Linked DNA regions of Macaca mulatta. The protein of the gene in region 2 interacts with the protein of the main gene of each other region in a pairwise test. Links are inferred from orthologs where the notes say so. Each region holds a gene or a part of one and is shown on either strand. Other genes may lie near its edges.

Region 1 (4,586 bases), on a different chromosome or scaffold from region 2:
AATAGTAACCCTCGGGTGTTTCTGCCTTCCCTTAAATCTGAAATCATGTTCTGAATTCTGTACAGCCTCTTTCCTTCTCCTGATTAACTTTCATTTACTCCGGAGAAGCGTCTTAACGCCCACTCACACAGGTAGTCCTTCCACACTCCCAGACTCACAACCACAACTCATTCTTGGCTTTAAACTCAGCCCTAAGGCACAGAACCAAGCTTTCCCTTCAGGACTCAGAGGCATTTCTGTGCTCAGAGCCTCCCCAGTCCCTGTCAACTCAGCACTCTGCCTTACCACACATCTGATAAGGAGATTCTCTGTACACAAGTAAAGGCTTCGGGGATGCTGGTGGGGAGATGAGGGAGAAGGGGATAAAGAAAATGTGTGTCGGGGTGCGAGGGAGAGAGAGAGAAAAGAGCGAGTGAGTGCCAGAGAGATCTTAAAAACCACTCGGAATTCAGGTACTGACTTCAGACATGTTTTATTATAATCTTATACAGTCTACATAAATTTGAACTTGTATTTATTTGGGTTCAGTTATAACATAGCATAATAAAAATCAAAGCACTGGTCCTCTGAAATAAAGCAGGCAATCACCATTCAATAAACACACTTGATTTATTTTGTATAAAAGGGTTAAGTTTACAACTAAACTTTTATAAAAAGTTTAGCATGAATAAGTACATCATTACACTTTTTAAAGCAGAAATAGACATCTCTGCCACTATACAAGAAAACTCTAATTAAAGAGTTCACAAGGTTTCACTCAATAGATATATTTATATATAAATATATACACAGCATTCAGTAGGCTTGTGTCAAAAAGGTAATTTCTGACCAAAAGACTTCATTTAAGTGACTGAATACTGGATCCTTCTGGTATTCACGCTCCACCTTTGAAAAAAGGCAAAGTCTGCTTAGATTGGGCAATTCCTTGTGATTTTAACGTTTTCGCTCCCCATGGTGGGAATAGTATATAAAGAAAACCTTCCAACTGCAGAAAGGGCATTTAAAAGTCTTTTTCATAAATAACGAATATCTCAGTCCAGGTGAGAGAACACCCTGGGAAGATGATCATTCTTAGTTTTCCTTCCATTTTTTTTTTCTTTTCAAAAAGGTCCGTTCAACTTGTCCTCCTTGTGAAATGGTTGAAAAGTTCAGCACTTAAAAGATTCTGTGGATTTGTTGTTGTTGTTGTTGTGCAAAGAAAAAAAAAGAAGTCATGAACACCTGCAAAAGATTGGGAGAGAAAGGCATGTTTGAGAGAATGTAACCTAAGGGCAGAGGCGGGCAGACTGGCGCCGGGAGGAAGCCACAGTTTGAACATTTAACCAAACACTCAAAGATTGGGCAAACCCTGGCGTCCAGATGCAACACACACACTCGCCTCGACAGCGCAAATTAAACATTAAAATAGCAGAGACTCAAGGGAAAAACTTCCCAACCCAATCTCCTATTTGGATCTCCAACAGCAGTGCTACAGGCGCCAGTCTGCTTCTTGTAACAATTATTTGATTGAAAACAGCCCTTTAGTTAACAGATAGGGAAGTCTGGGATCCCACATCACAGGGTCTAAGGCACAGGGTAGCAATCCTCAACTAGCCCAGAGAATCCCAGAGGACTATAGTTTTAGGGAAGCAGGATCACTGTGGAATTTGTGGCGATAAGATTAATTACAGTGGAGGTTAGTACCTCATAGTAGTACCAGAGGAATCGTAGGAAGAGCCAGGGCATTACATTTGCTACAAAGCCAATACACACGTTCCTCGGCCGCCTTCGTAGTAAGTTATTGGCATCATTTCCTTTTAAAGGAAAATGTTCTGTGATCTCGAGTACCCAGAACTACAAGCTCCTTCATGTCTAGTGAGACAATGTAGTACGGGTAACACCGCGAAGTAAGCATGCATTTACCAAATCAGACATTTTACAGATACACAAGCAAAAACACATGCGCACACGCACACACACACAGAAGGGCAGTTTACCCACGGGTGGCACAAGCAAACACTCACCGCTTATTCAGCCACACAGTGCTTTGCTGTCATTTGACATTAACTCAGAAGGGAATTCAGAAGCCTGGAGAGAAAGAGGATAAAGAGTACGAGGTTAAGACAATGTTAAGTAGAAAGGGTTTTTGTTTTGTTTTGTTTTGTTTTTTTGAAGTAGTCCACAGACCAGCAAGTTCCATTAAACACGTTTATGGTAACAATTCAGATTCAAAAACAGACGCATTAACATGTCAGAACTTACTAGCAATTTCACGCACAGCTCAATCTACGGCAGATTCTTATGAAAATAAAGTTAAATAGCTCATGCGAAAGTCACCGTCTGGGCTACGTATCTCCTAGTGACAACCCAGGCGACCGCGGGAGTGTGCGGCGGCGGGGCGGGGGCCCCGGAGCAGGTCTTACCTGCAAGGACAGGATGCTGATGTCCGTGTTGAGGGTGGTCAGCGGCGTCCTGGACGCCTGGTTCTGCCCGGGTCTCTGGTGATGGAGGCTGACAATAGTGGGATGCGAGTCCAGGGCGATCTGCAGGTCCAAGATGTAGTCGATGACGTGCTGCAGGATTTCCATCTTGCTCACCTTCTTGTTCTGGGGGATGCTGGGCACCAGCTCCTTGAGCTTGGAGTAGCAGTCGTTCATGTTGTACAGCAGGCTCATCGGGTCGTCCACCGGGGTTTTGCTCCGGGAGATGCCCAGGCTGTGGTCCGACAGGCTGTTTTTCCTAACGGACCTCACGGGACTGAAGGCTTTCATGCTGACCGCGAGGGAAGGCGAGACCGGGAGGGAGCTGGCTGCCCTGAAGCTCAGGCCGCCGCCGCCGCCTGCTGAGCTAGCTGCGCTTGGCACTGGGCTCGGCTCAGAATGAAGCCCGAGCCCGGCGGGGCGGCTTTTATCCGCACTCGCCGGGGCCACACGCTCGGGCTTCCCCTCGTCCCCATTGGTGGAAGGAAGCGCGTCCATCAAGCCGAGCGGACGCTTTCATTGGCAAGCGCGGGCGCGGGGCGTGGGCTCGGTTCTTCCGCGTTCGCAGCCAATCCCCGCGGGGTGGGCGGGACGCGAGCCCAGCTGGGGTGGTAAATAGAGTACAGTACAGTAAGCGCGAGGCGGGCGGGGGGCGGGGAGCGGGGAACCGGGAGCGGGGAGGCGGGAGGCGGGAGGCGGGAGGAGGAGGAAGGAGGGGGGGAGGAGGAGGGAGAGGAGGGAAGATGGGGGAGGGGAAGAAGGAAGGGGGAGGGGGCAGACCCTGGGCGCCTAAATGTGCATTCTTAATTCTAATTCCAAACGCGCGGCAGGACCCTTGCCCTGGGGGTGTTCCCAGACCAAGCCTTGCACACCTTGGAGCTGTCGGCAGCCCTAAAATCACGGCTACACGGGCGAGTTCAGCACCGCAGGGGGAAGCCACAGTTCACTGCAACCCATCGGAGGGAGAGCGTGAGGAAAGATAGAAAGCATTTCAGAAGAAAGTGAAAACGCAAATTAGGTTGTCACTGAAAAGTCACGTTTGTAGAGTGAGTTCGTCTCTTCAGATAAGGAAAAGTTATGTTAACACAAACAAACCACCCACGCATGCATTCGACGACAGGCTTAGTGTGGGTTTTTGCAACCCGGAGCAGCGCGGGAGGCATTACTGTAAACTCAGGAAAATGAGTACTTATTGGAAGCCATGCCCAACCTCGCCGGTCGCTAAGGAGCTCTCACAGGGCGCTTTCAGGGTTCCTTTTCAAGAAGGAGGCAGGGCTATTATAATGATAGTATTAATCGGAAATAATTAGGAGAATTTGCATTTTGAAACTACATTTACATACACTGCCCTTGAAAGGCTGCCGGTCTGTGCCCTTCAGTGTAGGTGGCAAAGTAATGTGATTAATTATGCAAGAATTGTGATTTCTGGTGTCACATTCCAACACCTAGAGGAGTTTCAAAGCTTTGTGACAGATAGGTGGCCCTAGCCATTGATTAACATCTTCACACTAAGAAAAAAAAAATACTCTGTCATATATGAGGTTTGGAATCTTTTCAGCACTAGTGCTGAATACAGGTTCAAGGTTTTGTTTTGTTTTGTTTTGGCTGAGAATGTTTAAGAACTCAGTCTAAATTTTAAAAAGTTTGCAGCTATTTACTCAAATACCTTGCTAATTCTCACATAATTCTAGCTTATCTAGAATTCTGTCCTGATCACAGTATGTCACTTTCTTGTTTTGAAAATATTTTCTCCAGAAAACAATGAACTAGAAAACCCCAGGAAAGGCAATATTCAAATCTTATTTACTTTCTGCCTCAATCTGTACCTCCTCTGCATTTCAGAAAGAGGAAGGGGCAGGCCTAGAGGCTGAAAGAAAAGCTCAATAATGGGGAAACTGTTTTTTCCTTCACTTAATGATTAATTTATCCGCTGGTGGGGCCAGCGGTCTCTGGCTGTCACGTGACAGCTGTGCGCCCCAGGACGCCTCTCCAGGGAAGCAGAGTGGGTGGCGCTGAGGTGGAGATCACCTTCCTGAAATCAACCCCCCTCAGTTTGGAGGAAGGAGGTGAATGGTTTCCTGTCCAGCCAGAAATTTGCCGAGGGCCTTCCCAAGGCCCGGCAATGCT
Region 2 (4,489 bases):
TCACACCTGGGTTCACTCACTGTATATGGAGGGGATGATTCTCAGCCTTGAATGAACTTCAGAATCACCTGGGGAGCTTTTGAAAAAAATACCAGTACCTGGCCCTGGGTATCTGGGGCAGAAACATTAAATCAGAATCTCTGGGAGGCGAGCTCAGACATGGGTTTAAAAAATACTCATATCAACCTGTGTACCCTTCCATAAGAGCCACGGAAGTGTGTGGTGAGGTAGTCAAGGTCAGAGGAACTTCCCCACGTATTGGACAAATTTGCACCCCTCCTTCCTTCCCCAGGCAGCAGGCTTCCTCCTTGCAATCCGCCTGCTGCCTACAGGGGTCGCTGAGGCACAGCTGGCCCAGTTTGCGGATTTTCCTCCGGATCCCACTCCCATGCCCAGGGAAAGCTGGAGCCACCGCAGTATAAATTAGCGCCTTTATTTTGAACACCTGAGCGAGCGCCCGCGGCTCGCCCGCCTGCGGTATAAACGTACAAATTCCCTGTAGCACCACACACCATGCCTCAGAGATAAATACAGCCCCAGGGGCTCCTGCTCTGGCAAAGCAACTCTTATTTACAGTAATAGATTACAAAAGTATTATAAAAAGTGGTCCTGAACCGGGGAACGGGTTGGGAGTGGGTTACGGTTACACCTGCTACATTTGGGACAGGAGTGCACCTGGGCCTCACGCCCCCCAAATTACCGGTGCATCCCGGTGCAGGGCTTAGGTCTGGGAGGGTTTCACCCCCATGGGGGAGGGCGCGAGAAAGCTGAACTTGGCCCCTCAAGGTTCAGCTCTGGCCCACCGAGGAACACGGAGCGGCCATCACAATGGATCTCCGGGAAGGGTGCTGCGTGGAAAAAACCGCGCTGAGTCCTTGCCCTGGGTGGCAGAAGGCGGAAACTTCAGTTCTCCCGCCTCTCCCACCTCAAGAGGGGTCGCTTTTAAAGCGCTGTTGGGAGGGGGCATTTAAGTTCAATCTTTTGGGTGCGAGGGACCCTAGGGGCACCATCCCTCGGGCGGGTGGGCGGCCACCCGCCCCTCAGAGCACCTGGTAGATCGGGTTGGGGTTCGCACCCGCAGGGCACTGCGGGGCGGTGTCCGGGGACTGGGTGGGGTCGCCGCTCTCTTCCTCGCTGGGGGCTGCAGCCTCTTGCCCGCTCGGAGGCGACTCCGGAGACACGTCGGCCAGCAGGAGCGCGGGCGCCGCAGGGCTCTCGGTGGAGATGCGCTCCACGATGCTGGACAGGCAGTCTAGGCTCGACACCGCCGCACTCTTCCCGGGCCTGGGTTCTGCGCGGGGAGGGCTCGGTTAGTAAGCAGGGGTGCGGCCGCGACAAGCCTCCCACCCCTGGGTCCAGTACTTTGAGACAGATTGGAAACTGAGGACTTGTCAGAGTCCGGGACAATCGAAAGAAGGAGCTACTTGCTTAGTATTTCATCGCCTGCACCACCTCCCGGGACATAGGCGTGTGTGAGTTGGGGTGGGGGCGTCCTAGATAGAGAGAGGCCAGGATAGCTCCATGAAGGCCATGGGGAGGAGGAGCGAGCAGGGCGAAGCCCGGAATACCTACCGCTGGGCGCCTCGCTGTAGTAGGCGCCTTCGTAGCAGTTCCGCCGCCGGGCGCCGCTCGGGGGGCCGCTGTAGTCCATCTGCAAACAGCAAGGGCGACTGAGTCAGGCCCGCGGGACGGCGCGGGGCCCGAACACCAATCCCTGTAGCCGCCCCCTCCCTAACTCTAGCCCCAGCCTCGAGTTCCGGGCCCAGACCTGTCCTGGTTGGGGGTGATTACGGGTGGGTAGGAGATGAGGTCTGCAACATGCAGGGCCAAACCAAGGGCGGACAGTCACCAAGGGGCGCAAATTTACATTTTGGAAGTAGGGAAAAATACAGAAAAAGAGCTTCATGTCCGCGCTGCAGTGTTCTAATCGCGCCCCCAACGGGGTGGCTCGAACGCACGCCCGCACGCTTCCAAAACAATTAGGCTACCCCAGTGACAGCTGCCCATTACACGGGGGTCCTCTCGCTTGGAAAGGATCCTGTACTAAACCTCCCGCAAGGCTAGCTCCCCGCCCTTGGAAGCACATCCCAGATATTCGGAGCGCCGCCCTAACTTCCTCACTTCCTGGGGTCCCGGCCTTACCATGCCGTCGGAGCAGTTGGAGCGCGGGCTGGACGCGTCGGAGTCGCCACTGTAGTGCTCGCCGCCGCGGCCTGGGGGCAGCGGGCCGGGCGCATAGAAGGCGGCGGCGGCGCCAGGGGGCGCGGCGTCCTGGTCGCGCAGCAAAGCCTGCAGGCCCTCGATATAGCGGATGGCGTTGCGCAGGATCTCCACCTTGGGCAACCGCTGGTTCGGGTTGCTAGACGTGCAGCGCTTCAGCGTCTCAAAGGCCTCATTTACTTTGCTCAGGCGGCGCCGCTCGCGCATGGTGGCGGCCTTGCGGCGGTCGGCGTTGGTGGTCTTGCGCTTGCACGCCTTGCAGGCCCACAGTAGGCAGCGGCCCGCCTGGTGGTGCCCGCTGGGCGCGCGCACATGTTCGTCCTCACGCGCGCCCTGGGCCGGGTGCACCGCCGCGGGGAAGTGCGAGTGCTCTTCGGGTTTCAGGAGCGCGCCCACGTGCATCAGGCGCGGGTCCAGGTCTTCGAAGAAGCGCAGGTCCGGGGAGTCGAAACACGGGTCGTCATAGAAGTCGTCCGTTGTGGCAAAGGAGCAGAGAGAGCCGTCGGGGCCCGTCAGGTCTACGTCGCGGAGCGGTGGCGACAGTAGCTCCATATCCTGGCGGTGGCGCGGCACCGTCCTGGCTTCGCCCAACCCAAGCGGCAGAGAGTGGCCGGAATTTTCTGCCGCTCGGGAGCCCTGGCTGTTGATAGTAAAGTGCTGGAAGTGTGAATGACCACCCACTGTCCCCCACCCCTCCCTGTCCTGTCCCGCCCGATTTGTGGTTAAGGAAAACGGCGGCAGCGCCCTAGGGCTTCCTCACCCCTAGCTTCGCGCCAGGCGCCCTGGGCTATTTATCCGTGGTAGCCTAAACGCCCCGGAGCCCAGGCGGGCAGCTAGGGGCGGGGGAGCCCGAGGCCAATAGGAACACAGCGGGGCGGGGCTTGGGGAGTCCCCTGGGTGGCCGCAGGGGCCCGCAGAGTGGCCAGCCAGCCCGCCCCTCCACACTGGCGCGCGCTCTCGGTTCCCTACCGGGCAGGGAGGGAGGGAGCGACTGGTAGCCTTAGGCGGCTGCACTTGGCTCTCCGGCACGCCCTTTCCAAACCTCTCCAACACCCGACTGCTGTGTCCGCGGGAAACGCTGGCTGTGCGCGCTCACCTCTGAGCTGACTTTTAATACTCCTCTGCCCCTGATTTTTGGGGAACCCATGGGTAGAGCAGCTGTAGAAATCAGGTCGTGAGTTATTTGGAGAGAGGCAAGGGATTGGGGGCATAGAGCTGAGAGAGTGAGACTGTGAAAGAGGGACCGAAAGAGGTTGAGAGACACGCAGAAAGCAGAAAGCTTAGAGTGTCAGGGGCAAAGAAACGCACGAGTGCAACAACAGGCAGAGAAACCCCGATAGTTGAAGTGGGAGAGCTCGAGACAAACGGGTCGTAGAGGCTGTGATATTCCACCAGTCCCCGACCTGGGAGTTGCTCAGGAGGTCGTGGGCCCAGTCCTTCTTCCCTAGACGCTTAGAAACCCCGCCATGGTTGTACAGGAATCAGAGATTGCTGCTAAAGCTTCGCGCCAATCTCTCCAAACTCGGATCCTGCCCAGGTGAGGAATCCCGTCCATCTAAATCTGCATGTTTCCACAGCAGGGTTGTCCAGTGCCATGCCTGGGGTCTAGGCTGAGCTGCCTCTTCAGCTGGGAAGAAAACCCTTCTCCTCCGTTCTTGGCCCTGCCTCACCCGCGGTGCTGAGTCAAGGAAAGTGCATTTGGCCAAGGTCGCAAACTTCAGGACCTGGCCTGAGAATCTCACCTCATCTCACCTGAAGTCTCTGAGAGTGTGATTTGCAGACCAGTTGAATCCAGACTTCAGAGTGTCCCCACTGTGTGATTTTGTGGAAGTCCTGTCTCCTTCCTTAGCCTCAGTTTCCAGTTATAGATTTGGGAATGACAGTAATTTCTTGGAGTAATTGTGGTGGGGATGAGAGTCTGAAGAGACCAAGGATGTGGAAGCCCTCAGGCAGTGATGTAGAGTTATTCGAGCAAGGGGCTTTCAGAGTTGGATGCTACGTCCCCAAGGCTTACAACTCGTCCATGGCACCATGCCCTGACAGAGTCCCACGTAGTCTCCAGGCCTCAGCTCTGTCTCTTTCCTGCAGCCTCACTGGAAAGGCTGGAAACAGGAGGAGGCAACCACCCCATGGAATGTGGGAACTCTGGCTCCCATACAAGCCTCAGCATACCGGCCACCCCCGTGGGGGCCTCTCAACCTCTTCCTGAATATGCAGTTCACACAGTCCTCTCAGCACTCTGGCTAGGAATCTCTGTTGGCCATACATC

The links.
Region 1: the proteins of MYOD1 (region 2) and ID2 interact in a two-hybrid assay, tested with the Homo sapiens proteins (2 studies listed by BioGRID). The link is inferred for Macaca mulatta from reciprocal best matches to the Homo sapiens genes MYOD1 and ID2.

The regions. Positions count from the first base shown.
Region 1 is NC_133418.1:116,141,525-116,146,110, forward strand, and holds ID2 (DNA-binding protein inhibitor ID-2), read right to left. Parts: upstream 2,861-4,586; 5' UTR 2,751-2,860; coding exon 2,403-2,750; intron 2,068-2,402; coding exon 2,011-2,067; 3' UTR 2,004-2,010; intron 1,222-2,003; 3' UTR 457-1,221; downstream 1-456. UniProt on the Homo sapiens protein: Transcriptional regulator (lacking a basic DNA binding domain) which negatively regulates the basic helix-loop-helix (bHLH) transcription factors by forming heterodimers and inhibiting their DNA binding and transcriptional activity.
Region 2 is NC_133419.1:47,742,442-47,746,930, forward strand, and holds MYOD1 (myoblast determination protein 1), read right to left. Parts: upstream 3,005-4,489; 5' UTR 2,773-3,004; coding exon 2,143-2,772; intron 1,652-2,142; coding exon 1,573-1,651; intron 1,292-1,572; coding exon 1,041-1,291; 3' UTR 418-1,040; downstream 1-417. UniProt on the Homo sapiens protein: Acts as a transcriptional activator that promotes transcription of muscle-specific target genes and plays a role in muscle differentiation. Together with MYF5 and MYOG, co-occupies muscle-specific gene promoter core region during myogenesis.